Linked DNA regions of Saccharomyces cerevisiae S288C. The protein of the gene in region 1 purifies or fractionates together with the protein of each later gene. This does not show direct contact. Each region holds a gene or a part of one and is shown in the gene's direction. Other genes may lie near its edges.

Region 1 (8,118 bases):
TCACTCTTGTTCTCATAATAGCAGTCCAAGTTTTCATCTTTGCAAGCTTTACTATTTCTTTCTTTTTATTGGTAAACTCTCGCCCATTACAAAAAAAAAAGAGATGTTCAATCGTTTTAACAAATTCCAAGCTGCTGTCGCTTTGGCCCTACTCTCTCGCGGCGCTCTCGGTGACTCTTACACCAATAGCACCTCCTCCGCAGACTTGAGTTCTATCACTTCCGTCTCGTCAGCTAGTGCAAGTGCCACCGCTTCCGACTCACTTTCTTCCAGTGACGGTACCGTTTATTTGCCATCCACAACAATTAGCGGTGATCTCACAGTTACTGGTAAAGTAATTGCAACCGAGGCCGTGGAAGTCGCTGCCGGTGGTAAGTTGACTTTACTTGACGGTGAAAAATACGTCTTCTCATCTGATCTAAAAGTTCACGGTGATTTGGTTGTCGAAAAGTCTGAAGCAAGCTACGAAGGTACCGCGTTCGACGTTTCTGGTGAGACTTTTGAAGTTTCCGGTAACTTCAGTGCTGAAGAAACTGGCGCTGTCTCCGCATCTATCTATTCATTCACACCTAGCTCGTTCAAGAGCAGCGGTGACATTTCTTTGAGTTTGTCAAAGGCCAAGAAGGGTGAAGTCACCTTTTCTCCATACTCTAACGCTGGTACCTTTTCTTTGTCAAATGCTATTCTCAACGGTGGTTCTGTTTCCGGTTTGTAACGTAGAGACGACGATGAAGGCTCTGTAAATAACGGTGAAATCAACCTAGACAATGGAAGTACCTATGTTATCGTTGAACCAGTTTCTGGAAACGGTACAATCAACATCGTCTCTGGTAACCTATACTTGCACTACCCTGACACCTTTACTGGCCAAACTGTTGTATTCAAGGGTGAAGGTGTTCTTGCCGTTGACCCAACCGAAACCAACGCCACTCCTATTCCTGTTGTTGGCTACACCGGTAAGAACCAAATTGCCATTACCGCCGACATCACTGCTCTTTCTTACGACGGTACTACTGGTGTCTTAACTGCAACCCAAGGTAACAGACAATTCTCTTTTGAAATTGGTACTGGATTCTCTAGTTCTGGCTTCAGTGTCTCCGAAGGAATCTTCGCAGGCGCCTACTCATATTACCTAAACTATGACGGTGTCATCGCTACAAGCGCCGCATCCACATCCGCATCCACTACCTCTGGTGTTGTCTCTACTGCCACTGGTTCAGTCACTTTATCCTCTAACGCTTCTACCACCGTCTCTTCTACGATCTCTTCTAGCGCCCCAGACTCAATAATTCCTTCATCTAGCGCCTCTATCTCTGGTGTCTCAAACTCCACTACAGCATCTGGTTCAATCGCTTCTACTGCTTCCACCGCTTCCACTACTTCTACTGCATCCGCTGCATCCGCCACCAGCTTCACCTCAGGTTCCGCTTCTGTCTACACTACTACATTAACTTACTTGAATGCCACAAGTACAGTCGTGGTTTCCTGTTCAGAAACAACCGACGCTAGCGGTAACATTTACACCATTACCACAACTGTCCCATGCTCATCTACCACTGCCACCATCACATCTTGTGACGAAAACGGATGCCATGTTCCAGCACCAACTGCTACCGACGCAACTGCAACCGTTTCCTCCAAGTCATACACCACTGTTACTGTTACTCACTGTGACAACAATGGCTGTAACACCAAGACTGTCACTTCTGAATGTTCTAAAGAAACTGCAGCAACCACCATTTCTCCAAAATCATACACTACTGTTACCGTTACTCACTGTGACGACAACGGCTGTAACACCAAGACTGTCACTTCCGAGGCTTCCAAACAAACATCATTGGCCACTAGCACAGTCACCAAGTCTGCTGCTCCAACTTCTCATACTGCTGCTTCCAGCACCTTCACTGGTATTGTCGTTCAATCCGAAGGTATGGCTGCTGGTTTGAGAACCAATGCTTTAAGTACTTTGGCAGGTATTTTCATCCTTGCTTTTTTTTAAAATGAGTGCGTAACCGTACTTTCCTAAAAATAACTAAGTAGAAAGTATTTTAATATATAAACGTCAGTGTAAACATTCAAGTGATTTTAACTTTACGCGGTTGAAGAATGCTGTGTTCGAACTATAAAGCGTCAGAAAAGATGGTTTAGCGAAGGCACCATTATGAAGATAGACACATTCTTCTTTTTTTTTTTTTTTTTTTTTTTTTTTTTTTTTTTTCATTTACTTTTATTTCGCGCGGTCGGTAAATTTTTCGTGGGTTTCTTTGAATCTATTAGCCGACATAAGAATAATGCATAAATAATATTTTTAATGTCTTCCTATGCCCAAAAGAAGAAGTCTTGAAGTTGCCGCACATGGAAATCACATGACCATGGCTTGGCCCTTCGTTTTAAATGCAACATGCAATATGGAATGTGTCATGAATACTATCAGCAGGAACAGAAAGCGTCGTTTTGTTTCTGCAAATGCTGTAGTTTTGGGCCGAAAATAGATGTAGTAGAATATATAGTGAAACGTGATGTACAAAAGAAAAAGGTAGTTTAAAAAAAATTAGATAACTTGGATTTTTACCCTGAATATTGCATGTGATTCGTAAAGAACTGAGTTACCTCAAACGGACCTCCCTTTTCATTTCGTATTCCGCGAATCATGAAGTCATGCAATTACCTCTGAAGAGCTGACTGTCCCAAAAGAAGCTATCGAATCTGTCCTTGATTTATTTAAGCCTTGCGTTTCGAGAAAGTGAAAACCAATTGAATACAAAATAAAAAAAAAGAAGAAAGAAATAGCAGGTCTAAGATATATAAGAAAGTTAATATCATTTTTGAACATTTTATTTTAGACGCCTTCAGCCGCGCGACGCCCGGAGTAATCATATGCCCATGACTTTACCAAAAGGCAACAGGGAGGAACATGCATTAATGTGAAGCATCACTGCTGCAATTCTCGGTGTTGCTAATAATTCATGGATCGAGAAAGAGACATAACATTTAGGCCAATTTTTTGAATAAATATGAACTCAGCTAAGACTCGACAATACAATTTTCTTATACTAAACGTAGATTTATAAAATAAACACAACTGTAAGGGCAATGCAACCGTAGATGCATATATCATTTATAGAAATTATATCCAACAGAAAGCTCAGACTTATATCCGGTTTAAGAGAGAAATTCTTGCTCATATTACCCCAAGACCAGGTGGCGTGTTGAAGTTTATAACATATAAGAACTACTACCTCATGAATTCTAGTGGATGAAAGAAGCAGCACGAACACCATTTCTACAGACAACGACACATGGAAAGGTTCACCATTCCCAAAGAAAACAACGATGGCCACAAGGGTGTGGTCCTCCATTCTCCTACTGTTGGAAGGAGATATTATCCGACCGACTGTTTTGTGATATGGCAAACTATTTTTTTAAATGAGCAAAATTACTTCTTTTGGCTGGAAATGTCATTAGAAAGTGCCCAAGTGACATTTAGCTAAACTCGGGTATTGTCTACAAGACCGGTGCTGTGACCGTTTCCAATACGGAAAGAAACGGTACTGGGAGCAGGAGTTGCTTTTACAGATATGAACAATGCCAATAGAGCCGCACATGTAATTACTGGTTCACACTCGTGGGGCCCACACGATTCCTGTGCAAAGTTTGACAAGAGGATGGAGTTTCACGTAAATGCTGCCAAAGGTGATGCGGTTTTGTTTTTGGGCAGCCTCTACCATGTTGCAAGTGCGAACCATACTGTGGCCACATAGATTACAAAAAAAGTCCAGGATATCTTGCAAACCTAGCTTGTTTTGTAAACGACATTGAAAAAAGCGTATTAAGGTGAAACAATCAAGATTATCTATGCCGATGAAAAATGAAAGGTATGATTTCTGCCACAAATATATAGTAGTTATTTTATACATCAAGATGAGAAAATAAAGGGATTTTTTCGTTCTTTTATCATTTTCTCTTTCTCACTTCCGACTACTTCTTATATCTACTTTCATCGTTTCATTCATCGTGGGTGTCTAATAAAGTTTTAATGACAGAGATAACCTTGATAAGCTTTTTCTTATACGCTGTGTCACGTATTTATTAAATTACCACGTTTTCGCATAACATTCTGTAGTTCATGTGTACTAAAAAAAAAAAAAAAAAAGAAATAGGAAGGAAAGAGTAAAAAGTTAATAGAAAACAGAACACATCCCTAAACGAAGCCGCACAATCTTGGCGTTCACACGTGGGTTTAAAAAGGCAAATTACACAGAATTTCAGACCCTGTTTACCGGAGAGATTCCATATTCCGCACGTCACATTGCCAAATTGGTCATCTCACCAGATATGTTATACCCGTTTTGGAATGAGCATAAACAGCGTCGAATTGCCAAGTAAAACGTATATAAGCTCTTACATTTCGATAGATTCAAGCTCAGTTTCGCCTTGGTTGTAAAGTAGGAAGAAGAAGAAGAAGAAGAGGAACAACAACAGCAAAGAGAGCAAGAACATCATCAGAAATACCAATGTTGAAGTCAGCCGTTTATTCAATTTTAGCCGCTTCTTTGGTTAATGCAGGTACCATACCCCTCGGAAAGTTATCTGACATTGACAAAATCGGAACTCAAACGGAAATTTTCCCATTTTTGGGTGGTTCTGGGCCATACTACTCTTTCCCTGGTGATTATGGTATTTCTCGTGATTTGCCGGAAAGTTGTGAAATGAAGCAAGTGCAAATGGTTGGTAGACACGGTGAAAGATACCCCACTGTCAGCAAAGCCAAAAGTATCATGACAACATGGTACAAATTGAGTAACTATACCGGTCAATTCAGCGGAGCATTGTCTTTCTTGAACGATGACTACGAATTTTTCATTCGTGACACCAAAAACCTAGAAATGGAAACCACACTTGCCAATTCGGTCAATGTTTTGAACCCATATACCGGTGAGATGAATGCTAAGAGACACGCTCGTGATTTCTTGGCGCAATATGGCTACATGGTCGAAAACCAAACCAGTTTTGCCGTTTTTACGTCTAACTCGAACAGATGTCATGATACTGCCCAGTATTTCATTGACGGTTTGGGTGATAAATTCAACATATCCTTGCAAACCATCAGTGAAGCCGAGTCTGCTGGTGCCAATACTCTGAGTGCCCACCATTCGTGTCCTGCTTGGGACGATGATGTCAACGATGACATTTTGAAAAAATATGATACCAAATATTTGAGTGGTATTGCCAAGAGATTAAACAAGGAAAACAAGGGTTTGAATCTGACTTCAAGTGATGCAAACACTTTTTTTGCATGGTGTGCATATGAAATAAACGCTAGAGGTTACAGTGACATCTGTAACATCTTCACCAAAGATGAATTGGTCCGTTTCTCCTACGGCCAAGACTTGGAAACTTATTATCAAACGGGACCAGGCTATGACGTCGTCAGATCCGTCGGTGCCAACTTGTTCAACGCTTCAGTGAAACTACTAAAGGAAAGTGAGGTCCAGGACCAAAAGGTTTGGTTGAGTTTCACCCACGATACCGATATTCTGAACTATTTGACCACTATCGGCATAATCGATGACAAAAATAACTTGACCGCCGAACATGTTCCATTCATGGAAAACACTTTCCACAGATCCTGGTACGTTCCACAAGGTGCTCGTGTTTACACTGAAAAGTTCCAGTGTTCCAATGACACCTATGTTAGATACGTCATCAACGATGCTGTCGTTCCAATTGAAACCTGTTCTACTGGTCCAGGGTTCTCCTGTGAAATAAATGACTTCTACGACTATGCTGAAAAGAGAGTAGCCGGTACTGACTTCCTAAAGGTCTGTAACGTCAGCAGCGTCAGTAACTCTACTGAATTGACCTTTTTCTGGGACTGGAATACCAAGCACTACAACGACACTTTATTAAAACAGTAAATAGATAATATGATTATGTAATTTTAGAAACTAATTATGAATACCGATTTATTTTTTTTTTTTTTTTTCACTTTTGCTGGCAAGAAATACGAAATTGCAATGACGATCACAGTCCAAAGAGGTAAGCACAAAGGCGCAGTATGTGATTACTCTATCATTCTTTAGCAAAACCAGGATAGGAGTATATGTATAAGAAATATGCAACGCCATCATTTAATGCAATAGACACGACATGCCCTTTACATGAGGTGGTACAATGTTTTAATATTGTGTCAGGGCAAGTACATGATAATATCGTTTAAAGATGATGCTAGAGTAAAAGTATGAAGTGAAAGAAAAGGGCAATTGATTGACTAAGCGGATGTTGTAGGATGATATAGTGGCTCATGATCTGTAAATGATCGGTTGACCGCAGTATTATATAATAACATCCGTATAAGTACATATACTACCATGTCTGTTCTCTACATTGCTTTTTATTCAAGATTATTGGTTTTCCTAACCGCCGCGCCGCGCAGGTACCCCGCGCATCTCTTCTTCTCGAAGAAAGCGGAAAAAACAAAAAAAAAAGTATAAATAGTGGAGTCTTTTCCCATTTAACATTTAGAAAAAAATTCGAATGGAAATTTCTTGCCGAACATTTAACCGGAGACCCTTGGCGGCTTTTTCTCAGTTTCGTGGGCTAGTACATTTTACCTAGTATGCTGGGAACTTTTTTTCCGTATTCTATTCTATTCCTTGCCTTACTTTTCTTATCATTTTTTATATAACCAATTTCAAAAATACTTTTTAACTGTCATAGACGCATTTTGTTTATTACAAATTAAAAGAATCAAATATAATATGTGCAATTAATAACTCCACAAGTAGCGAAAGCAATGGCCGCCATTAGAGACTACAAGACCGCACTAGATCTTACCAAGAGCCTACCAAGACCGGATGGTTTGTCAGTGCAGGAACTGATGGACTCCAAGATCAGAGGTGGGTTGGCTTATAACGATTTTTTAATCTTACCAGGTTTAGTCGATTTTGCGTCCTCTGAAGTTAGCCTACAGACCAAGCTAACCAGGAATATTACTTTAAACATTCCATTAGTATCCTCTCCAATGGACACTGTGACGGAATCTGAAATGGCCACTTTTATGGCTCTGTTGGATGGTATCGGTTTCATTCACCATAACTGTACTCCAGAGGACCAAGCTGACATGGTCAGAAGAGTCAAGAACTATGAAAATGGGTTTATTAACAACCCTATAGTGATTTCTCCAACTACGACCGTTGGTGAAGCTAAGAGCATGAAGGAAAAGTATGGATTTGCAGGCTTCCCTGTCACGGCAGATGGAAAGAGAAATGCAAAGTTGGTGGGTGCCATCACCTCTCGTGATATACAATTCGTTGAGGACAACTCTTTACTCGTTCAGGATGTCATGACCAAAAACCCTGTTACCGGCGCACAAGGTATCACATTATCAGAAGGTAACGAAATTCTAAAGAAAATCAAAAAGGGTAGGCTACTGGTTGTTGATGAAAAGGGTAACTTAGTTTCTATGCTTTCCCGAACTGATTTAATGAAAAATCAGAAGTACCCATTAGCGTCCAAATCTGCCAACACCAAGCAACTGTTATGGGGTGCTTCTATTGGGACTATGGACGCTGATAAAGAAAGACTAAGATTATTGGTAAAAGCTGGCTTGGATGTCGTCATATTGGATTCCTCTCAAGGTAACTCTATTTTCCAATTGAACATGATCAAATGGATTAAAGAAACTTTCCCAGATTTGGAAATCATTGCTGGTAACGTTGTCACCAAGGAACAAGCTGCCAATTTGATTGCTGCCGGTGCGGACGGTTTGAGAATTGGTATGGGAACTGGCTCTATTTGTATTACCCAAAAAGTTATGGCTTGTGGTAGGCCACAAGGTACAGCCGTCTACAACGTGTGTGAATTTGCTAACCAATTCGGTGTTCCATGTATGGCTGATGGTGGTGTTCAAAAACATTGGTCATATTATTACCAAAGCTTTGGCTCTTGGTTCTTCTACTGTTATGATGGGTGGTATGTTGGCCGGTACTACCGAATCACCAGGTGAATATCTCTATCAAGATGGTAAAAGATTGAAGGCGTATCGTGGTATGGGCTCCATTGACGCCATGCAAAAGACTGGTACCAAAGGTAATGCATCTACCTCCCGTTACTTTT
Region 2 (7,617 bases), on another chromosome or scaffold:
TATGGTACCTTCCATGCTCTTTGCCGAACTGCAGATAACCTGCGTCTGCAAATTGCAGGAATTACTGAAAATGAAATTGCTAAACTTTGGGAGCTACTAGAAGAAAAATGAGTACCTCTCCTACTTATATTTCCCATTTTCTTGAAGGTTTCTCCTTCCCATATAAGAATTCCAAACGGTGTTCCTTTACAAACCCATAAGGGTATTAAAATGATTCTCAAAATTTCCTACTGCACTATTGTTTTTTCTTTCTAATAGATGAATCATCCGTACACACACAGAGACCACCGTTTACTTTCATATCAGAATAGAAGTTGTGAAAGCTACCTACGAGACTTAAATAAACATCTTTTTCGATGGTGAGCTTTTCATGGTAATTCGTCGAGACAGTAACTGTTTTGCTCTTTTCTATGATGTCTAAAGCCAAAACAATGTCCATCAAGACTAGCGTAATAAAAATCAACCTGCTCATTGACAATTGGATTATTTTTGGCTGTTCAAGATTAAAACAGACTCAGTAGGCAAAAACTTCAATCAATAGTACCGGGAAGATGACATTCCGGTCTAAGTGGTATTATACACTTATAGTAAAGTCACGTCAACCTTTGTTACTTTTCTTAATTGATTATATACGCACTCTTCTCAATATTTGATTTCTTCATCGAAAAGATCTACACGAAGTTTTTATCATGTGTTAGCGTGATGGAAAAGATCTGTGCACGTTTAATTAGAATTGCAAAAGCTTCAATGGGTTTGATTGAGATTTTTATTTTCAATTCACTCATCTTGATGTTCACCACCAAGCCTACATCGAAACTTTGAAATACAGGAAAGTTGCAGGAGGCTTTATTGGTTGAATTGAAAAAGAAAGGAAGAAAAACGTAATGGTAAAATAAAACTCGACTATGGCGCAACCGATAGAGAGTTTAGTGGCATTAGAAATTTTAAAAGAAGCTTTAAACTACAAAGTGTTCTTCTGAATCTGAATAAGGTCACTTACATAGAAACCTACTTACCTCAAAAGCGTAATTCCGAAAGGCAAAAGAAAAACTTTTGTAGAATCTTCAGCTGCTAGAAGTTCAAATAGAAGACAAATTACGGACTTGTTGCAGTATATGCCAAGCTACAGAAGAAATTATATTTCTTAATACGTACAGAAGGTATGAAACGTTAGTTTACTCACAGAAGATACCCTGGCTTTTCTTTTATTAATACATGGAGTTGCAAAAAACAAGGGAAAGGAAAATCAATCAAATTAGAATTAAGGTTTTTTTTGGACAGTGCAGCGTCAATGCGCACGTAATGGCTTCGAAGAAAAAAAGAAGGCAAATACAATGAAGCTGAGATCTTGTTTTATCATGAGGGGAAATAAATTGGAAGCATTGAAGTTGTTGGAATGAAACTCTAAAATATCATCTGTTTAGTAGTATCGTGTTACTAGTACATTATCACATACAGTGTAAGAAAATGACATTAGGTATGAGAAACAGTCATCAAATCTAATGGAAGCGAAATTCAAGGGTTGGTGATGTAATAGGATAATGAAACATATAAAACGGAAGTAAAAATAATCGTAATATTACAAGGAGACCAAACAAACAGTCGAGAGAAGCGTATGCACAATCATGCAAGAAAAATTTTCTGGAAGAATTTATTTAATCTTAAATTACAAATCTTAGTAGTAATGGTCACTTCTGATAGTTTCGAAAAAGGAAAGAGGAGATGACTATTGAGTCAAATTTTTTTGACGGAAACTTAGCGACCGAAAAATATATATGATAATAAGAAAACGAATGGCATACAATGATTAGTTTCAAATATTTCACGCGCAAAGAAAGAATTCTACTACCGGAGTGTGCCCTTCTTGTACTTTATTATCAGACTGTGTCTCTCTAATTGCGTGTTGTCCGCGGAATAATGCTCTAATTTAAAAAATCGACATATTCTGACTTGTATGGCGCTTTGCATTGGTGTTTATATGTTAATAACCCCTAATCATACTCTATATGAATACTTTCAAATTTACCAACACAATAAAATCTTCATATTCTCATGCATGTTTTGCCCTGTATCACTAAATAATACATACTTTACCGAAGCTGGTTGTATTTCGTGTATATCATAGCCAATGATGCCGTTATAATGTCCGAAATATTATCGCTTAATGAAGGGAAGCAGCTAACAAATATGACAAATACAGCAATTTCTTACACCGGTAACTAATGATTATACAAACAAGACTTGATTTTTTTTATGGCCTGTAAGAATATATCATAACGTGAGTTCTAGATATTTAAAGTTCTTTATGCATATTCTAGTCTACGTATATAGGAGTTCCAAAAAAAAAAAAAATTAAATGCACGTTATTCTTGACGCTAGTGTAAGTTTTTATGTACTTTACCTGCTAGCTTCGTATTTCTGTCTTGGGATATTCTTGTCCCTATTATGAGAATGTACAATATGCAAAATAAAGGTAAAAGATTTGAAAAAGAGAAAATACCCAAATATCAACAAAACTACCTCTATAGGACCTGTCTCATGGTCTTGACAACTTTATGCGAAATAAGAACACGATCGTTATATCACTTAACGCTTGAGATATATACAGAATGTAGTACATGTCGGCCCTTCTACGGATTTATTACCATGTGTATACTAGAATTGATACCGGCAACCCATAGTGACTTTTAACAGGGCAATTGGATTTGCATAAAAGTATATACAGTAATAATAATATTTCCTGATGAGAAAGGTGGAAAGTATCGAGTTATGTGTACCTTCAATACCAATCTCTACCTCTCGTTAATAGTGCCACAATGCTATGGATTCTAAGCAATTTAAACCGCATAGCTATTAGTGTAGACTTCCCACTGTATTTGAATGACACGTTGCCTTCATTCCTTGTTGCGCTGAACTTTCACGTCAGATATATATACATAAGTGCAATAGAGGCCTAGGCTAATCTGCAAATTTCTCATAGATGTACACCGCCTGTGCCGTACGGCATCGCTATCTTCTGAAAGGAAACTGTAGTAAATTTACCAAAATATCTCCGAATAAAAAGAAGAGGAACATCTTTTAATGAATTATAGAGTACAAAAGAATCATTTAAAAGAGAGGGCGAGTGAAAACATGAAAAGAAACGTTACTAACTTAATTGACCTTAAAGTAGCCTCACCAGTTAAGTGCATTATTGATCATTCCATGAATAACCATTTTTAAAGACTAAGATGCTGAGTTGTGTTATATAGAGAGAAAAAAACGTACTTTCAGTTTCCATATGAGGTGGAGCGCAGGTCATAGGTATGCCGGCTCATTGTTTTCTATTTTAAAAAGTAAAAAATATGCTGCTAAAGGAACACGTGAGAAATTACATTCTCCCTAGGTCTGCGATAACGCGGTAATATTACACTGCCGCCGCCTTCCATGCCTTTGGAAAGCAGACAATGATGCTAGGCGGCGCCCAGCAGTATAAACTTTTCTTGCTTATAACCAGAACCTCTATCACAAAATTAGAAACTGCGATACTATGGGTCAGATCGACACATAGGGAGCACTATTAGGCGCAAGGCGTATACATAGGCATTGCGTGTTCAAAAATTGTCGTATGAGAAAAGTTCCAAACTTTCCACCATTACTCACCAACAACTTACACCAGCCCGGATTTAAGATTTAGCTTCCGAGAATATTGTGACTCAGCCACTGGTCTCTTGAATGTTGCGTGTAGCTTGATTAAGATTATGGCATAACCGTTTTTTTTACTTGGCAAGAGTGAACGTCCTTTTACTCCAAAAGGCTCCTGATGAAACTGGAGAGTCTCTTTGTTCTGAAATTTTTAAAGTTTAGCACACCATATTCACGCTCGAGGTGAACCCAAGTTTTCCTGAAAAATGTGCCATGAACCTGAAAAAAAGAATTATTCTCGAAAATAAAAAAGGCAATCAAGATCGGAAAGATAAGCATTTTTTTTCAATCCGTATCTAACATTCATAAAGTGATAAAAAAATTGATAACGATTTTATTGTCGCCTCTTGTTTTGAGTATATTTTTTTAACGTTCTTTTTCGGCATTCAAATTCCGTATAATCAACTCAATTGTAAGGCGCCGTAGCATCCAAATAATGTTGAAAGTGCCAATTTGCTCATCAGTGCTAAATATTCCTTGATAAAAATATAGAAGACAAGGACATATAAAAAGAAAGACTGCTCTAGTGTTGGGACACCACAATGAAAAAATACTTAACGTGTTTCGAAACTGTGAATATAAAATTCCAGCAAAAACCAAAATATTCACTACAATGATTGATCGTACCGAGTTATCGAAGTTTGGTATTACTACGCAACTGTCTGTTATTGGACGTAATCCAGATGAACAAAGTGGCTTTGTTAATCCACCTTTGTATAAGGGGTCAACCATCATTCTTAAAAAACTTAGTGATTTAGAACAAAGGAAAGGAAGATTTTACGGGACAGCAGGTTCTCCAACTATTGACAATTTAGAAAATGCCTGGACGCATTTAACCGGCGGTGCTGGGACAGTGCTATCAGCTTCTGGGCTTGGTTCTATCTCTTTGGCGCTATTGGCCCTTTCGAAAGCTGGTGATCATATCTTGATGACTGATAGTGTCTACGTGCCAACACGTATGCTATGTGATGGTTTATTGGCCAAGTTCGGTGTTGAAACGGATTATTATGACCCATCAATAGGGAAGGATATAGAAAAACTAGTTAAGCCAAATACAACCGTCATTTTCCTCGAAAGCCCGGGTTCTGGGACCATGGAAGTACAGGATATTCCAGCTTTGGTCTCTGTTGCCAAAAAGCATGGGATAAAGACAATTCTAGACAACACATGGGCAACGCCACTCTTTTTTGATGCTCATGCGCATGGTATCGATATTTCGGTAGAAGCTGGGACAAAATATTTGGGTGGTCATTCAGATCTTCTTATTGGTCTGGCCTCCGCAAATGAAGAATGTTGGCCGCTATTACGGTCAACTTATGATGCAATGGCAATGTTACCAGGTGCCGAGGACTGTCAATTAGCATTGCGAGGAATGCGTACATTGCACTTAAGATTGAAAGAGGTAGAAAGAAAAGCCCTGGATTTGGCTGCTTGGCTCGGAAATCGAGATGAGGTTGAAAAAGTGCTTCACCCCGCCTTTGAAGATTGTCCCGGACATGAATACTGGGTTCGTGACTACAAAGGTTCTTCAGGCTTATTTTCCATTGTCCTTAAAAATGGGTTCACAAGAGCTGGTCTGGAGAAAATGGTAGAAGGGATGAAAGTTTTGCAATTGGGATTTTCATGGGGTGGCTAGAAAAGCTTCAACATGGCCTTACAAAGGTTTTGCACTAAGAATACAAGTGGGTCTCGAAGAATTTGAAGATTTAAAAAGGGATTTTGAGTTAGGCTTTGAACGTCTCGCAGAAGAAATTTCTTTGAATCCTTTACAAATCTGATTTTTTTTCCTTTTTTTTTTGGATTTCCAAGCAATGTTGTTTGAGAAATGAATGAAATTTTTGACTATAGCTTGTCTTAGGCAGGCTGGAGTAGACAACCATCTAGTAGCCAATGTTTGCCCAGTTAATATATGGTTCAATTTTCTAGCTGTATCATATTATGGATGATGAAGCAGATAATCTTTCTTTTTTCTGTATGTCTGATTGTAATAAAGAGGCTTACCATATTGTGAATGCATTTCAATGACACTGCATAATGAAGTCATTGTATTTAGAAAAGTAATAATTTTGTATTGTATAAAGATAGAAAAAACGTATATCGTACTTATTCAGCGGAAATGATTCTGCTTTATCTACTTGCGTTCCTGAATATAATATTTGTGAACCAGGCTTGAGCTTGACACTACAGATTTTTTAGTTCGATTTCATTCAGTAGAGAAAGGCATATCAATATGACATGTGATCTCACTCCGCGGCTAAATGCTAGCAATAAAAAGAATACCGTAATAGAGATGCAGCAAAATAACCACTGGTGTTTAAGAAATAATATGATTACGTCAGTAACCGAAGAGCCCGTACGCACTCTGCTACCATAGACTATGTATATTGTTACCTATTGTAAATAGCTATGGTTACTCTAAGTACGTATGGTGCTATGCATCTCGGTGAACGGATGCAATTATGAAAGTGTAGGTCAGAACATCATCGGTGGTTTTGTCGTGTAAAAAAGGTTATAAGGAAAATTATACTCACATGATTTTATTCATCATCGTCTGTGTATCGCTTCAATTAACATTTTGAAAAAGAGATTACTTTATATGACGTTATGTATATCTTTCAACTTAAATAACCTTAGCTGGCAAAATAAAGAATAAGATAAGGGCCAAGAAGAACGCTAATACTCGTTTTTTTTCAACTACAAAACAACTAGTTGGATAATTTTGAAACAACAAAGTAGAAGTTGTACATATATTTTTGCGCATATGGCTCTGAAATATCGTATTTTTCAAAAGCCCGATACAAAGCCGTCAGCAATACCCATAGTTAAAGATTCCTTGATAACCTATAGCTTCCGTAGACAACAACACAAATTTACCACCTACTTTTAACTCACCCATGTTTTTCAGTTTATCAATGAATCTAATAAACGTGGCTTACGTAACAGCTCCGCATGGACTTGAATTTACTCCTAGCGAGCCTAGTGTTTTAATTGCTTGCATACAATCTTCATCGGAAACTAAACAGGAAATAGATGGCCCCTTTCTGTAGTAGAAGAAATGCTGTTGCTGAAATCCTCGGACAGTTCAACTCATCCATGATTGTTCTAGAGGTTCCTAGATCAGATGAAGCCTTTTGTAACACCAATGACTTATTGACAGTGTAAGCGGTATCTGGTTCAACCGAGAAGACTTTCGTATTCGATTTATGCGACCTGTAATATGTTATCACTCCTTGAGCAAAAGAATCAGCCCCACAAGGGACAAATATTACCGCAGGATCGAATGGTATTTCGCTACACAAGGTAGTGTAACCATAAGAAATCCAGTTAGGAATTTCATCATAACCTATGAATGAAAAATCTTGAATAAGTTGATTTTTTTGTCGGATCGCTACTACAAAACTCTAAAGAACTTTTTATTGCATAATCATAGTTACCTTTAATTTTGATAACTTCTGCTCCCTTTTCTGATCTGATGTTCTCACGCTCTGTTCTAGAACATTCCATGGAGTAAATATTGTAGACTTTAAGCCTAGGATTTTTGCCATGTATGCAACTGCTCTACCATCATTACCATCTGTAACAGCCGCTAGCATCAAAGACGGGTGTTGGAATTTGACAATTTGCTTCAATGTATCCAAGGAAGTTTTAGGTAATGGCAGGCTAAATCTTCCAATCAAACAGCAAAATACACCTCAAGACGCCCCAAGAATTTTGAATGAAGGCGAGCTGAATCCCGAACTTTGTTCTTTAATGTACAATTTAATACCAAAATGATTATCCAACTTGATTAGCTTCGATGACTCATACAGATCCATACCAATATCAACTTCACGGATAACTTTTTCAACTCTTTTAAATTCTTCAACATCATTTTTCGATCAAACTGCGTCAGGTTTTACATATAGATCAAGCGTTGTCGGTTTATACTACGAT
Region 3 (7,829 bases), 190 kb from region 1:
GATGTAGAGGTGAAAGTACCAGTCCATGGTTCAGTGGTGGTGCTGATTAGACCTTCACTAGTTGGAGTTCTGATGACAATGACGGTTTCGTCAGTTGGAACGCCGTTGGTACCGGTGACGGTGGTCATTTCAGTGGATGTAGAGGTAAAAGTGTCGTTCCATGGCTGAGTTGTAGTCATGGCAGTAGTGGCTGTTGTTGGTGTTCTGATGACAATGATGGTCTCATCAGTTGGCAAACCGTTGGTACCGGTGACGGTGGTGATTTCAGTGGATGTAGAGGTAAAAGTGTCGTTCCATGGCTGAGTTGTAGTCATGGCAGTAGTGGCTGTTGTTGGTGTTCTGATGACAATGATGGTTTCATCAGTTGGCAAACCGTTGGTACCGGTGACGGTGGTCATTTCAGTGGATGTAGAGGTAAAAGTGTCGTTCCATGGCTGAGTTGTAGTTATGGCAGTAGTGGCTGTTGTTGGTGTTCTGATGACAATGATGGTTTCATCAGTTGGCAAACCGTTGGTACCGGTGACGGTGGTCATTTCAGTGGATGTAGAGGTAAAAGTGCTGTTCCATGGCTCAGTTGTAGTTATGGCAGTAGTGGCTGTTGTTGGTGTTCTGATGACAATGATGGTTTCATCAGTTGGCAAACCGTTGGTACCGGTGACGGTGGTCATTTCAGTGGATGTAGAGGTAAAAGTGTCGTTCCATGGCTGAGTTGTAGTCATGGCAGTAGTGGCTGTTGTTGGTGTTCTGATGACAATGATGGTCTCATCAGTTGGCAAACCATTGGTACCGGTGACGGTGGTGATTTCAGTGGATGTAGAGGTAAAAGTGTCGTTCCATGGCTGAGTTGTAGTCATGGCAGTAGTGGCTGTTGTTGGTGTTCTGATGACAATGATGGTCTCATCAGTTGGCAAACCATTGGTACCGGTGACTGTGGTCAATTCGGTAGAAGTAGAGGTAAAAGTGTCGTTCCATGGCTGAGTTGTAGTCATGGCAGTAGTGGCTGTTGTTGGTGTTCTGATGACAATGATGGTCTCATCAGTTGGCAAACCATTGGTACCGGTGACTGTGGTCAATTCGGTAGAAGTAGAGGTAAAAGTGTCGTTCCATGGCTGAGTTGTAGTCATGGCAGTAGTGGCTGTTGTTGGTGTTCTGATGACAATGATGGTCTCATCAGTTGGCAAACCATTGGTACCGGTGACTGTGGTCAATTCGGTAGAAGTAGAGGTAAAAGTGCTGTTCCATGGCTCAGTTGTAGTTATGGCAGTAGTGGCTGTTGTTGGTGTTCTGATTACAATGATGGTTTCGTCAGTTCGTACACCATTGGTGCCAGTGACTGTGGTCAATTCGGTAGAAGTAGAGGTAAAAGTGCTGTTCCATGGCTCAGTTGTAGTTATGATGGTGCTAGCAGTTGTTGGAGTTCTGATGACAATGACGGTTTCGTCAGTTGGAACGCCGTTGGTACCGGTGACGGTGGTCATTTCAGTAGATGTAGAAGTGAAAGTACCGGTCCATGGTTCCGTTGTAGTTATGGTAGTACTGACAGTATAATTTGAAGGGTCTGGAATGGTACAGTTTGGCTGGCTTAGATTGTTGTCAAAAGTATATACGTACCCTTCAAAGTCATCACTAACGGTAGTGCCATCTGGTAGTGTCACACTAATTGGAAGTGTACCCCAGGCAACGGCATTTGAGTAAACAATCTTCATTGGATAATAGAAACCAGCATACATGTAGACAGTCCCTGTAATATTATCAGGGGGACTTCCATTCCATGGCTTGATACCATTGATGGTGAAGTTAGTCGACGTGATGGGAGGTTGTTCTTGTGCACAACATTCGAACGCAATGCTACCACCGACTGATAGAATTGCAGAGTCGTCAACTGTAGCAAACTTGAATGTGTAAGAACCCGTCTGTGGTGGTAAAAAATAACCTGTCATTTCTAGGGTTACGTTTGTTGGGGTAGTATAGAAACCAAATAAATCAGTACTCCAGTATGCAATTATTGGATTATTAGAACAAGCACCAATTCCTTTGCATCCCCAATTACCATATAAATCTTCTTGAGGACAAGGAAATGTGCCTGATGAACTAACACAAGGAATATTATAATCAATCGAGATATCAGTTTGTCCTCCGACAGAACCCAGTTTAGTTTTTGAGGCATATCCATAAGCCATATATGCTGCATTCGAATATGTGGAGGAATCTCTCAATGAATACTGGTAAAAGTTTACATTCATACCATTCTTCCTTGAGTTTGCTGGCAGGCATGCCGCTGTAGTCGCAGAGACAACATTAGTTAATCCCAGCAATGTGACGATGGCTAGTAGTAAACAATAATGTGCCAGAGACATTTTTGGGGCTTTTATTGTACAATTGTTCTTTTTAAATTGCAATTTAAAGAGCGTACCTGTAAATAAGAAGGAAGAACGTTATGTTATTAATGGACTTTTAGTGTCATCGAATTTTATGTAATATATAAGAAGGTAGAATAATTTGGCAGGATAATGTGTTAGCAAAGGAGGAAATCGAATACCTTTAAAAGAGAAAAAATTTTTTAGCTGCTTAAATTTCTGTGTTATACCACCCGATAGATTTTGAGTTATGCTTTCTAATTGATCTGACTGCGAACGTTTTCTTTATGCCATCTGAATTGTCAGGAACAAAGAAGAAAAAGAAAAGTTTTTAAAAAATCTGTGGTCGTGTGTGATGTACCTTTCCTTTACATGCATTAATGCGCTCTGAAATGTGGTACGATATCCTTACAGAGAATATATTTTCTGTATATCGTGCAATGTTGAATAACCTATGAAGGAAAGTACCCATCGCTCAAGGTAAGCATTCCAGGAGGGTCGCCAGAAACTTAAACTAGTTTTAGCGACAGATCCGAAAATTGATAGAGACATTGAAAAAATCACTACTCCGTCCTTTTTAGTGCTTTCTCAATGCATAATTTTGGTGCACGACTAAAAAATTCTAGAACACTATAGTTGCATTTTTTGGGCCGGAAGAAGAAAAACGCATGTAACTTTAATGTCAAATAAAGTTTTCACCTAGTAAGCGCGATACAAAAAAAACACAGAAATAGCCATAGGAAAGTGAATTTTGTCAGCCGACTAAAATTAAGGTTAGCTTACAAAGCAGCAAAAAATTTGACATCGCACGGTATTCCCTGAAAAAGGAGCAGGCAGGTGCTGTATATTTTTTTCGGTTCCTGCCTCTTACATGGCGTCGGTGTATCTTAAATACTAAAGTGAGCTGACTACCCTTTTGAGTGCCCTATGTGACCTCTGATCTCGAAAGTAAACAAGAGATACCTAATTTCACAGCCACTTTTTGTTGCGGACACTGACGGGATGTGTTGTGAATATTTTAAACCTTAAAAGTATTTATTGGTTAGTTATACTTAATTCTTATACGTCCTTTAAAACCAGTGTGCAGTAAGTCTGTCACACAAAAATATGATTGATGCATTTTCAAAAAATAATGGCTTTGAGGTAATTCGTTCCACTTTTGAGACTTATTCACATGTCCCAGCTGGGTGCAATCAAAATATACCGGCATTTCAGCAAGGTAACTATATACGCTTTTTTTCTCATGGTTTTTGAAATCATACCTGCCAAGCTTGCTGCACTTGGAAGGCAACTCCGTTTTTCAGAGATTAGATCCTTTTTTTTTTGAAGAAAAGGCAGCCAAGTTACGTCATAGAGAAAACTCCCTAGAGCGCTGCAAACACTTGTTAGTTTGCAGCTTACTTCACGTGTGGCTGGAAAATTGAAAAGTTACAATACGGTAAAAATACTTTGAAGACACTACACTATAACTGCTTGACCAAATTTTTACTCGTGAAAAATTTGTTCCAGCCGGTCTGTTACTGATATTAAGTTAAGGAATAGTAAACCGTATATTTTTCATCCACGTTTTTGTAGTTTATTTTCGGTTTACTAGCTATGCATTGATTGTCTATCAGAGCATATCAAGGTGGTTATGGAGGTGCTGATATTTAATCAATAAAATTATAGAAATTTTGAGAAAACAATAATGATTGTTTCTACAATGAAAATCAGTTCATGGAATAGTTGCCTTCGCACTACTTTTTCACCAGATTAATGGTGCATCAGAGCTTTCCCTTTTTGTCTTTTTCTTGTTTCCTTTTTCGATTGGTTTATCACGTAAGTTTCTTATGACATAAGAAGAGGCAAGAAACGAAAAGGGAAATATTGCCTACTTTTTTCTTTTCGAACGTAAATAATGACGGGATTTTGGTGTCATTTTTTTTCGTCTGGATTTTCTCAGAGAAGTACGTTTCGTCGCACAAGCTAAAATCATTGACAGGGCATGAGTTACGTCAATCTCTGGTCAATCCATGTCCAAAAAAATTTCTTGATTTGTTCAAAGTTTTTGCATAGGCACATTAATTGGTTTAGCGAAGTATACATTCTGAAGAACATTTTTGGGTGTATTTTCCACATAGAAAATTCGATTTTTTTTTTTCAATGCACCACTTGTCGAGTATACGTTAACTTTAATGTATTGAAGATGCAAAAATGAAAAGCCTACTTGGCATATGGAATTACAATAAATGGTCAATTCCTGTTTAAGCTAGCAGCGGCACTGTCGGTGTAAATTTGGGTTTAAACTATTGTTTACTTACTTTGAGAAATTTATGTATCGCCTATATTTTTCAATAAGTGCGATATCTTTAGCTTTCCACAGAACCCCCCCTCAGGCTATGGACGTGCGGTTATATGATCTTCTAATAAAAATCTCTTAGACTACGGTTCATGGAATACTTCTTGACTTCTTGGCGAAGGAAAGGCGCATAAATGTTGTGATCGAATGACCAGTAATACGTCGTTTGTTCTCTTGCTGAACAGCGAGGAAGAGATATTCATCCAAATGCATGAACGCAGAATCCTGTAAAAGTCGTAAAAATGTTAATCGCAATGTTGTAAAAACCGTCAAGGCATTTATCGTTCAAAATGGCGATCATTGTTACTACTAAACACTTACTGTTAAATTAAAAAGCTGATGTTGCGTAATCCATTGACCAATTCATAGGCAATGTATTTCAATGACGCACAAGATTCATAACAAATTTTTTATTTACGATGTACCTGTACATTGTGCAGAAGGTCTTCAGAGTGAGTTTAAGCTAGGCTGTAAATATTTTAATGTTAAGATGAAATTTAAGTGAGCTGGTAATATCAAGTGAGGCATAATTTGTTATATGTAGCTGAACTTCAACTTTAAATAGAAAAATTACAACTAACAAGCACCGGATTGTTTCAGAATTCAAAGTGTAGAAGCTATTATTCTTGCAAAATAAAACGCTTTCAAAGTTTTCTTCTATAAACATACTTGTGGCAGCTTGTTTTTTTTGTTTTATTTTTAAGTTTTGTTGGGTCTCTGAGAACTTTCAAAAAAAGAAAAAGTAAAGTATGATAAAACGGAGCACTTGCCAAAGTAATTAACGCCCATTAAAAAGAAGGCATAGGAGGCATATACATATATATATATATATATATATATGGCTGCTGACAGATATTCTGCACTTAAAAACTAAAAATATTATACCAACTTTTCTTTTTCTTCCCGTTCAGTTTGCTTGATTGGCCCAGCTCTTTGAAGAAAGGAAAAAATGCGGAGAGGGAGCCAATGAGATTTTAAAGGGTATATTACTTATCTTATCGATAAGCAGTATTGATATTAAAGGGACAGTTTTATCGTTGGTTAATATGGAAAAAGTGATGACCATGATGCCTTTCTTAAAAAGAGTATTTCTTTTTATTTCACTTTCACATAAACAGTTAATGACTTCTGACTTTGAGCCGTTCGAACTCAGTTATATAAAGGTACATACATAGGCCACACACACACACACACACACATATATATATATATATAGGGAAGTAGCAACAGTCACCGAAAAGAAAAGGTAAAAAGTAAAAAATGACAAGCGAACCAGAGTTTCAGCAGGCTTACGATGAGATCGTTTCTTCTGTGGAGGATTCCAAAATTTTTGAAAAATTCCCACAGTATAAAAAAGTGTTACCTATTGTTTCTGTCCCGGAGAGGATCATTCAATTCAGGGTCACGTGGGAAAATGATAATGGCGAGCAAGAAGTGGCTCAAGGATACAGGGTGCAGTTCAATTCAGCCAAGGGCCCTTACAAGGGTGGCCTACGCTTCCACCCATCAGTGAACCTGTCTATCCTAAAATTTTTGGGTTTTGAACAGATCTTCAAGAATGCGCTCACTGGGCTAGATATGGGCGGTGGTAAGGGTGGCCTGTGTGTGGACTTGAAAGGCAAGTCTGACAACGAGATCAGAAGGATTTGTTATGCGTTCATGAGAGAACTGAGCAGGCATATTGGTAAGGACACAGACGTGCCCGCAGGAGATATTGGTGTCGGTGGCCGTGAAATTGGCTACCTATTCGGCGCTTACAGATCATACAAGAACTCCTGGGAAGGTGTGTTGACTGGTAAGGGTTTAAACTGGGGTGGCTCACTTATCAGGCCGGAGGCCACCGGGTTCGGCTTAGTTTACTATACGCAAGCAATGATCGATTATGCAACAAACGGCAAGGAGTCGTTTGAGGGCAAACGTGTGACAATCTCCGGAAGTGGCAATGTTGCGCAATATGCAGCTTTGAAAGTGATCGAGCTGGGTGGTATTGTGGTGTCTTTATCCGATTCGAAGGGGTGCATCATCTCTGAGACGGGCATTACTTCTGAGCAAATTCACGATATCGCTTCCGCCAAGATCCGTTTCAAGTCGTTAGAGGAAATCGTTGATGAATACTCTACTTTCAGCGAAAGTAAGATGAAGTACGTTGCAGGAGCACGCCCATGGACGCATGTGAGCAACGTCGACATTGCCTTGCCCTGTGCCACCCAAAACGAGGTCAGTGGTGACGAAGCCAAGGCCCTAGTGGCATCTGGCGTTAAGTTCGTTGCCGAAGGTGCTAACATGGGTTCTACACCCGAGGCTATTTCTGTTTTCGAAACAGCGCGTAGCACTGCAACCAATGCAAAGGATGCAGTTTGGTTTGGGCCACCAAAGGCAGCTAACCTGGGCGGCGTGGCAGTATCCGGTCTGGAAATGGCTCAGAATTCTCAAAAAGTAACTTGGACTGCCGAGCGGGTCGATCAAGAACTAAAGAAGATAATGATCAACTGCTTCAACGACTGCATACAGGCCGCACAAGAGTACTCTACGGAAAAAAATACAAACACCTTGCCATCATTGGTCAAGGGGGCCAACATTGCCAGCTTCGTCATGGTGGCTGACGCAATGCTTGACCAGGGAGACGTTTTTTAGCCGTAAGCGCTATTTTCTTTTTGTTCGTAACTATCTGTGTATGTAGTAGTGTAATCTACTTTTAATTTACTATGCAAATAGGGTTCAGCATTACGGAAGAAACTGAAATCCCTTCCGCGGAAGTTTCTTAGTAGTGGCCGTGCGGGGTGAGGAGATTACATGTCGGTAATTAGATGATTAACCTAGGCAATTTGAAGGGGGATAGTGGCATTGGTTAGCTCAGATATGATAAGGAGAACTAAGCAAGGGGGTTAACCACCACGGCTGTAGCACAAGACCGGCAGATGCGATTATTAGCAACACATTAGTTAATGCTTTTGATAAAATGTATATAAAGGCTGTCGTAATGTGCAGTAGTAAGGACCTGACTGTGTTTGTGGTTCTCTTCATTCTTGAACCTTGTCATTGGTAAAAGACCATCGTCAAGATATTTGAAAGTTAATAGACAGTTAACAATAATAACAACAGCAATAAGAATAACAATAAATTCATTGAACATA
Region 4 (8,717 bases), on another chromosome or scaffold:
TGTGGAGGCACCCAAGAAGGCGAATAAGATAAAGATAAGTTTGAAAGGTGATAAACCTGTTAGAAAAGTGGAAAAACAAATTGTGAAGCCGAAGGTAACTAGCAAACAAAGGAAAGTCAAAAGTCATGTGAACCGCATGGGCAGTTTACCTTTACGGTTTGTTAAGATCCAACAACAACCTAGAGTAATGGTGCATTTGTCATCCGTCCCGTATAGCCAATTCGTTCAAATTACAAAAGTCACATCAAGATCGTTTATGGTTAAGATAAGAACAAAGAATGATGCTAAGAATTGATTGTTTGCTTGAGTCTGAGTAATATCATATTTTATACAAATACATAGACATAAACAAAAGAGGCAAGTAGATAAGGGTATAGCCATATGAGTGTATAAACAAACATTGGGAACAAGAGCAAGACGATGGGGAGTTTCAAATAGGATAGCTATACTGACAACATTCAGTACTCGAAAGATAAACAACCTCCGCCACGACCACACTCTATAAGGCCAAATGTACAAACACATCTTCCCAATATCCGTCACCACGTACTTCAGCATAATTATTCGTCAACCACTCTACAAAACCAAAACCAGGGTTTATAAAATTATACTGTTGCGCGAAGTAGTCCCATATTCCGTGCTGCATTTTGTCCGCGTGCCATTCTTCAGCGAGCAGAGAAGACAAGACATTTTGTTTTACACCGGAGCCAAACTGTGAGTAATATGCTCTAAAAGCCATAAATGAGTTTAAATATTTCTTTGAAGATTTTATAGATGTCTTATTGAACTGTCGAAACTGAGTATTTTGACTTCCAGACGCTATCCTGTGAATTTGGATTTTATTTAAAAATCGAGAGGAAGGAACAGGAATCTGGATATCTTTCTTGAGTGGTCGAATAATATTGAAGCAGCTTGGCCTCACATGCTCAGCTAGACGTTTTTCTTTCAGCTTTTTTGAAACCGCTGTGTTTCTGTATGATTTGGATGCTTTGTTCTTAATTTTGAAAGCAGGCTTCGAAGTAAACATATTGTGAATGTCGTCTATTAAGTTATTATATATGGTTGATACATTTCATAAAAAGTGAAGGTTAAAAGAAGTAGTTAAGAGTTTAAGTTGTTTCATATGATGTACTTTTCTACATTGGGAAGCAATAAATTGCATCCCAAACAAAACCCAGACATCATTAATGTTTTGAAACATAAAATGTTGGAACTTAAAAATATATATAAAGGAGAGATTGAAATCAGCTTAGAAGTGGGCAAGAAAAAAAGGAAGATAAGCAAGAAAAAATGAATAAAATACCCATTAAAGACCTTTTAAATCCACAAATCACAGATGAGTTTAAATCCAGCATACTAGACATAAATAAAAAGCTCTTTTCTATTTGCTGTAATTTACCTAAGTTACCAGAGAGTGTAACAACAGAAGAAGAAGTTGAATTAAGGGATATATTAGGATTCTTATCTAGGGCCAACAAAAACCGTAAGATTAGTGATGAGGAGAAGAAGTTGTTGCAAACAACATCTCAACTCACTACTACCATTACTGTATTACTCAAAGAAATGCGCAGCATAGAAAACGATAGAAGTAATTATCAACTTACACAGAAAAATAAATCGGCGGATGGGTTGGTATTTAATGTGGTAACTCAAGATATGATAAACAAAAGTACTAAACCTTACAGAGGACACCGGTTTACAAAAGAAAATGTCCGAATACTAGAAAGTTGGTTTGCAAAGAACATCGAGAACCCATATCTAGATACCAAGGGCCTAGAGAATCTAATGAAGAATACCAGTTTATCTCGCATTCAAATCAAAAACTGGGTTTCGAATAGAAGAAGAAAAGAAAAAACAATAACAATCGCTCCAGAATTAGCGGACCTCTTGAGCGGTGAGCCTCTGGCAAAGAAGAAAGAATGAGCCCGAAAAACAAATATGTATATATCTGTGTAGAATATATATATATATATTTCGCAAAAATACATAAACAATCAACCCTCTCCTCAGACACTACTAAGATGTTTGTACTGATAGATAATGTCCTCGCCTACCTTCTTGAACAAGACGACCTATTTGTAACCGCACGCTTCGCTATCCAGGGCCAAATCGTCTCAAGAAGAGTTAACAAAATACATATCTCCAACATCACAGACGTCCTTCTACAACAATTCATAAGTCACACACTGCCCTATAATGACAATATCGTCCCAAAAAAAATCCTCGACAGCATGAGAACGGCCGTACGGCAGTTGCTGGAAGCAACTGCCTGTGTCTCTAGAGAATGCCCCCTCGTCAAAAGAAGTCAGGACATAAAAAGAGCAAGAAAACGTCTACTCAGTGACTGGTATAGGCTCGGCGCTGATGCAAACATGGATGCCGTATTACTAGTTGTTAACTCCGCCTGGAGGTTTCTGGCCGTCTGGCGACCCTTCGTAAACTCAATCCAACATGCAACTCAGGAATTGTATCAAAATATCGCCCATTACCTTCTTCATGGCAACGTAAATATACAGAGGGTCACAGCACTAATACAGCTCGTAATGGGACAGGACGATTTACTTTTTAGTATGGATGATGTTCTACAAGAGGTCTTCAGAATACAGCTCTATTTGAATAAGATGCTGCCGCACAACTCTCACAAATGGCAAAAGCCATCCCCCTTTGACTCCGCAAACTTACTACTTAACTTCAGAGACTGGACAACTGACAATGCTCTCCTCCAAGAGTTGCTACTATCCTATCCCACAATTAATAAAAACAAACACAAAAATCACTCCGTCCCTCGTCTAATACAAATCTGGGTAGAGTCTTATTGGCAAGATAGTGAGACAACATTAAAAGATATCCTCAATTTTTGGTACAGTCACTTGGCTGAATATTATGAATACCAAGAACTGTTTGCAGACATAGTTCAGCTGTTTATAAACAAAAAAAGAACGAGGCAATTGAAGATTCATTACATTGGTCTAACTGATAAGGAAATCGAAGAAAATAAACCGCCCCTGGACTACGAAAACTTATTTCTCCAATACGAGATAGACAAAACGAACGCAAATGATGAATTGTGCGGTGCAACTGACCTCAGTGATTTACTTTTCCAATGGAAACAGGGTGAACTTCTAGAAGTCGAAGCCTTCGCTCTAAACGTATCTCCATGGTCACTTGCAAAGACATTGACTCTCTTAGAATCTTCTCTTTACTTGGATATTGAAACAATAGAATTCACAAGACATTTCAAACACAACGATACAACAATTGACTCCGTGTTTACGCTTTCCAACCAGTTATCGTCCTACGTTCTTGAGACAACTTTGCAGCAAACGCACACCATTTCCTACTGGTTACAAGTTGCACTGTCTTGTCTATACTTACGAAACTTAAACTCACTTGCTTCAATCATTACATCATTGCAAAATCATTCAATAGAAAGACTATCTCTCCCGATAGATGTTAAATCAGACCACCTTTTTCAGCGCCTAAAAGTCGTCGTACATCCAAACAACAACTACAACGTTTATAGAAGAACAATTAAACATATTTTCCACAGTCAGCTTCCTTGTGTACCTTTTACATCACTGCTTATCAGGGACATTACCTTCATAAGAGACGGAAACGATACATTCACTAAAGATGGTAATAACGTGAATATGCAAAAGTTCAACCAAATCACAAAGATAGTCGCTTTTGCGCAATATTTACAACAAAAGCAATATGAAGATATACACTGTTCAAATACTACTGCAAGAAGCTTATTAGGGGCTATGATAAAGGTGCACACTTTATATAACGACAACAAAGACAGGGCGTATCAAGTCAGTATAGCTAAGGTTCCAAGGCTTACCTAAAAACAGAACTGTTCAAAGAAAGATGACTTCCTTTTGCTTCTTGTACGCTCACAAATAATTAATATTCATGTTTAGTACTGAAAATTAAGAATACTTGCATAACTACAGTAGATAATATTTTTTGATAAGAAACCAGACGTAAATTAGATGTAATCTTTTACAGATATTACAGTCAACTTAATCAATTACCTAAAAAGGTTTAAGATTGTGCATAGGAAACGTTTCAATTACCGTATCTTTAGGCTACCGCCTCTTTCTTATTTTCCCTTACCCTTTTTTCAATCTAATTAATTGATGATTTCGCACGTGGGAAAAGTAATCCGATGCATTGAAAAATTATTACCAGAAAACAGTGTTTCACACCAAAAAAGCAGTCAGCTCTCAGATAAAGGTGCAGCAAAACTACGGTAAAGGCGGCTATTATTGTGCCTCGAAATGAGATTCTCACACTTTCTCAAATACAACGCTGTCCCTGAATGGCAGAATCATTACCTAGATTATAACGAATTGAAAAATTTGATCTACACATTACAGACAGATGAATTGAAACAAGAAACGCCAACCGGTGACTTAAACGATGACGCTGACTCTCAGACTCCAGGTCCAATCGCTGATATAGAAAGCAACATAGCTGCAGGAGAACCATCTTCATCGAAAAGAAGATTTACACATAAACTCAAGCGTAAGCTCTTTGGTTCTAAAACACCTTCAGGAAGCAAAAGGGGAGACTCCGACGAAAAGGCCATAGATGGGAACAATATTAACGAGGAAACAATTGAGTTAGACGAGTTATCTCCTCAAGGGAAAACCACCTCTTTCAATAAGAATTTTATACGTAAGAAATTCTTTGAATCACGCAGCTCATCTGTGAGTAGCGAGGGAAAGACGCTCTTCAGTTCTTATGATACATTCGTAACTAACCTGAGCGACGAGAAATTGAAAGTAGATGATTTCTACAAAAGAATGGAAGCTAAGTTCTATGAAAGATTTGACCACTTGATTAATGATTTGGAGAAGGAAGGCATTGTAACAAGATTGAATGAAACTTTCAATCCTGAAATTCAAGCATTGCCTCCTTTAAGAGAAATTATTTCTGGTACATCAGAGACACATTCATCTAATAACCCATTTGAAATACACTCTTCAAACATCGACAGTGAATTGAGAAATAGGTTTGATTACAGCGAAGAAGAAATGGATGAAGATGATGACGTTGACGTGTTTGCTGACACTACCGACAATACCGCCCTCTTGAATTATTCGCAATTTAACATTAAATCTCAGAAAAAGTCATTATTAAAACAGACAATAATAAATCTTTACATAGACCTTTGCCAGTTGAAATCTTTTATCGAATTGAACAGAATGGGTTTCAGTAAAATTACTAAGAAGTCTGATAAAGTATTGCACATGAACACTAGGCAAGAATTAATAGAAAGTGAAGAATTTTTCAAAGACACCTACATCTTCCAGCATGAAACTTTAAGCAGTTTAAACAGTAAAATTGCACAACTTATTGAATTTTATGCTGTTCTCATGGGTCAGCCTGGGAACGTAGATTCATGCAAGCAAGAGTTAAAGTCGTACCTGCACGACCACATTGTTTGGGAAAGAAGCAACACATGGAAAGACATGTTGGGCCTCTCTTCGCAAAATAACGATATAATAACTATTGAAGATGAAGCTGAGAAACTTATGCAAGAAAAGCTTCAAATTGAATATTTCAAGTATCCATTGCCTAAGCCAATTAATTTGAAGTTTACTAAAATTGAAAATTTGGCAGTTCCTAAGCTATTTTTTGGGAAAAGAGCAATGAAAATAGGCTTCATTATCATTGTCACAGGTGTTTTGTTGGGTGTTAAAACTTTCAATGACCCTGTCGAACACCGGTGTATGGCATTGGTAGAATGCTGTGCTTTCTTATGGGCTAGTGAAGCCATTCCATTACACATCACAGGTTTATTGGTTCCCCTTCTAACTGTCCTTTTTAGGGTACTAAAAGACGATGACGGTAAGGTAATGGGAGCAGCAGCTGCCTCTACAGAAATCTTAGGTACAATGTGGTCGTCAACAATTATGATTTTATTAGCAGGTTTCACATTGGGTGAAGCCTTGTCGCAATATAACGTTGCGAAAGTTTTGGCATCGTGGTTATTGGCCCTTGCAGGTACCAAGCCAAGAAATGTCCTTTTAATGGCAATGAGTGTTGTATTCTTTCTTTCGATGTGGATTTCCAACGTTGCCTCCCCAGTATTGACATATTCTCTATTAACACCCTTACTAGATCCGCTGGACTACACTTCACCGTTTGCTAAGGCATTAGTCATGGGTGTTGCACTTTCGGCAGATATTGGTGGTATGGCTTCACCTATTTCTTCGCCACAGAATATCATCTCCATGCAGTACTTAAAACCTTATGGAATCGGCTGGGGGCAATTTTTTGCTGTCGCTCTGCCTACAGGTATTCTATCGATGCTGTGCTCCTGGGCCTTGATGATACTCACCTTTAAAATAGGCAAAACTAAACTGGAAAAATTTAAACCAATAAGGACCAGATTTACTATAAAGCAATATTTTATCATCATTGTAACTATTGCTACTATTCTTCTATGGTGTGTAGAGTCACAAATAGAAAGTGCTTTTGGATCGTCCGGTGAAATTGCAGTAATACCGATAGTCCTGTTTTTTGGTACAGGTCTACTATCAACAAAGGATTTCAACACATTCCCTTGGTCAATTGTTGTTCTTGCTATGGGTGGTATAGCCCTTGGTAAGGCAGTTTCATCTTCAGGCTTGTTGGTAACTATTGCAAGAGCATTACAAAAGAAAATTCAGAACGATGGTGTTTTTGCTATCTTATGTATTTTCGGTATTTTAATGTTAGTTGTGGGCACTTTTGTCTCACATACTGTGTCAGCAATCATCATTATTCCCTTGGTGCAAGAAGTTGGTGACAAATTATCCGATCCAAAGGCAGCTCCAATTCTTGTGTTCGGTTGCGCCTTGTTAGCCTCATGCGGTATGGGGTTGGCTTCATCTGGATTTCCAAACGTTACTGCTATTTCTATGACCGATAAAAAGGGTAATAGATGGCTAACTGTAGGCGCTTTTATCTCCAGAGGTGTTCCTGCTTCGTTGTTAGCGTTTGTCTGCGTAATTACTCTCGGTTATGGTATTAGTTCTTCCGTCTTAAAAGGTAGCACTTAAACTGCCCTCATGTAATTACATTTCTTATTACTGCATTCTTTGTACCTTTTTAAACTTTATATATATGACGAAAACTAAAATTTAACAAACTAAAAGTAAAAAATTGCAGTAGATTTTATGCATCTTTCTGAACATCTTTATACAGTGGCATGCTTTCAGCAGCACCTTTTCTTTGAATGGTCAATGAACTAGCTAATGTAGAGAACTTTATAGCCGTAGACAAGGTCTCTCCTTGATACAATTGAGTAACCAAACCGCCCAGGAAAGTATCTCCAGCTCCTGTAGTATCAACAACCGAAACATTTTGAATAGCCGGAAGGAATTGTACTTCAGGGCTTTCGTGCGAACAGAAAAGCACCCCTCTCGAACCCAAAGTCATAACCACAATTCCTCTTTTCTTTCGATTCATGAGTTTTTCATACAAAAGCTCACAAATTTTACGATATTCTCCTAAAAAGTCGTCCTTTATCTTCTCCCTTATTTCTTCAACAAGTTCATTATCAAATACACTTTCCACGATTTGAAGACCCTCAATTTCATTAACGACCAAAAGGTCTACCAACTCCCAATCTTTCTTAGGCATGGCCTTGAAAGGTGAGGGGTTATATACGATCTGAAAATTCGGCCTGTTCGCATGTATCCATTTAATAATGGAAAGAGGATCAGGAATTTCGTGTTGAAAAACAACATACTCTTCTTCCTCCTTGCCCTCTGGAAAAATTTCACACAACTGTTTCGGGTCATAAATAGTCTTGCTGTTAGCACCTTCTACAATCAATATCCTATTTTGGCCACCAGCTTTCTCTTCAATTAGTATGGTAGCGGTACCCGTATTAATGCCTTCGTAAGTACCGACGTGAGTGATATCGACTCCGCAATCGGATAAAGTGTCCTTCAATTGTTTACCAAATGTATCATTTCCAACATTACCAATCATTCGAACACTATATCTGCTGCTGGGGTTTTTTAATTTACCAATGGCCGCAGCTTGGTTCAATCCCTTACCACCAGCATGTGTTTCGAAGTGGTTAGCCCTGAAAGTTTCTCCAGCGTTAGGTAATCTATCCGTAAATGTGTCCAAATCATAGTTTAGAGAACCTATTACTGTAATACCCATCTTTGAAATATGCTGTTGGAACTTTGGGATGAAAGACAACAAACATCTTATTGGCTATTTTTATCCTATTTGCTTCATGATTGTTCTGGCCACCTTCGGATATAAACCCTTTTATTCCCGTTTGATCTGGAGAGATTTTCAAATCACAGTCGACGAAAGTATAAGATTTTTCTTTCTTTTTTTATGACAGAGTATATAACAATAATGGACAAATTAGACGATGAGTATTGTTACACAAATAAGTTTGACAGTAGTTTCACAGGCATCTAATATTGGAAATGGCTGAAAGTACCACGTTAGAAACTATTGAGATACACCCAATTACTTTTCCACCTGAAGTTCTTGCGAGAATATCTCCAGAATTGTCTTTACAAAGACACTTATCCCTAGGAATCAGGCCATGTCTAAGAAAATATGAAGAATTTAGAGATGTTGCTATAGAAAATAATACTTTATCGCGTTATGCGGATGCTGGTAATATAGACACTAAAAACAACATTTTAGGCTCAAATGTTTTGAAAAGTGGGAAAACCATAGTCATAACT

The links.
Region 2: the proteins of PHO11 (region 1) and IRC7 purify together in Saccharomyces cerevisiae (affinity purification with mass spectrometry, with the first as the bait; one large-scale study listed by BioGRID). This does not show direct contact.
Region 3: the proteins of PHO11 (region 1) and GDH3 purify together in Saccharomyces cerevisiae (affinity purification with mass spectrometry, with the first as the bait; one large-scale study listed by BioGRID). This does not show direct contact.
Region 4: the proteins of PHO11 (region 1) and BUD5 purify together in Saccharomyces cerevisiae (affinity purification with mass spectrometry, with the first as the bait; one large-scale study listed by BioGRID). This does not show direct contact.

What each region holds. Positions count from the first base shown.
Region 1 is NC_001133.9:220,946-229,063, forward strand, and holds PHO11 (acid phosphatase PHO11), read left to right. Parts: upstream 1-4,514; coding exon 4,515-5,918; downstream 5,919-8,118. Other genes in the region: YAR066W (uncharacterized protein), read left to right, coding at 104-715; YAR068W (uncharacterized protein), read left to right, coding at 1,461-1,946.
Region 2 is NC_001138.5:259,907-267,523, forward strand, and holds IRC7 (cysteine-S-conjugate beta-lyase IRC7), read left to right. Parts: upstream 1-4,297; coding exon 4,298-5,320; downstream 5,321-7,617.
Region 3 is NC_001133.9:25,612-33,440, forward strand, and holds GDH3 (glutamate dehydrogenase (NADP(+)) GDH3), read left to right. Parts: upstream 1-5,955; coding exon 5,956-7,329; downstream 7,330-7,829. Other genes in the region: flocculin FLO9, read right to left, coding at 1-2,357.
Region 4 is NC_001135.5:192,752-201,468, reverse strand, and holds BUD5 (Ras family guanine nucleotide exchange factor BUD5), read left to right. Parts: upstream 1-1,919; coding exon 1,920-3,848; downstream 3,849-8,717. Other genes in the region: transcription initiation factor TFIID subunit TAF2, read left to right, coding at 1-295; YCR041W (uncharacterized protein), read right to left, coding at 226-558; MATALPHA1 (transcriptional co-activator mating type protein alpha), read right to left, coding at 500-1,027; MATALPHA2 (homeodomain mating type protein alpha2), read left to right, coding at 1,291-1,923; PHO87 (SPX domain-containing inorganic phosphate transporter), read left to right, coding at 4,284-7,055; RBK1 (putative ribokinase), read right to left, coding at 7,171-8,172; exosome non-catalytic core subunit RRP43, read left to right, coding at 8,451-8,717. UniProt on the Saccharomyces cerevisiae protein: GDP-GTP exchange factor (GEF) for the small GTPase BUD1/RSR1. Regulates the activity of BUD1 together with BUD2 which is a GTPase-activating protein (GAP) of BUD1. Required to produce both the axial and bipolar patterns of bud site selection.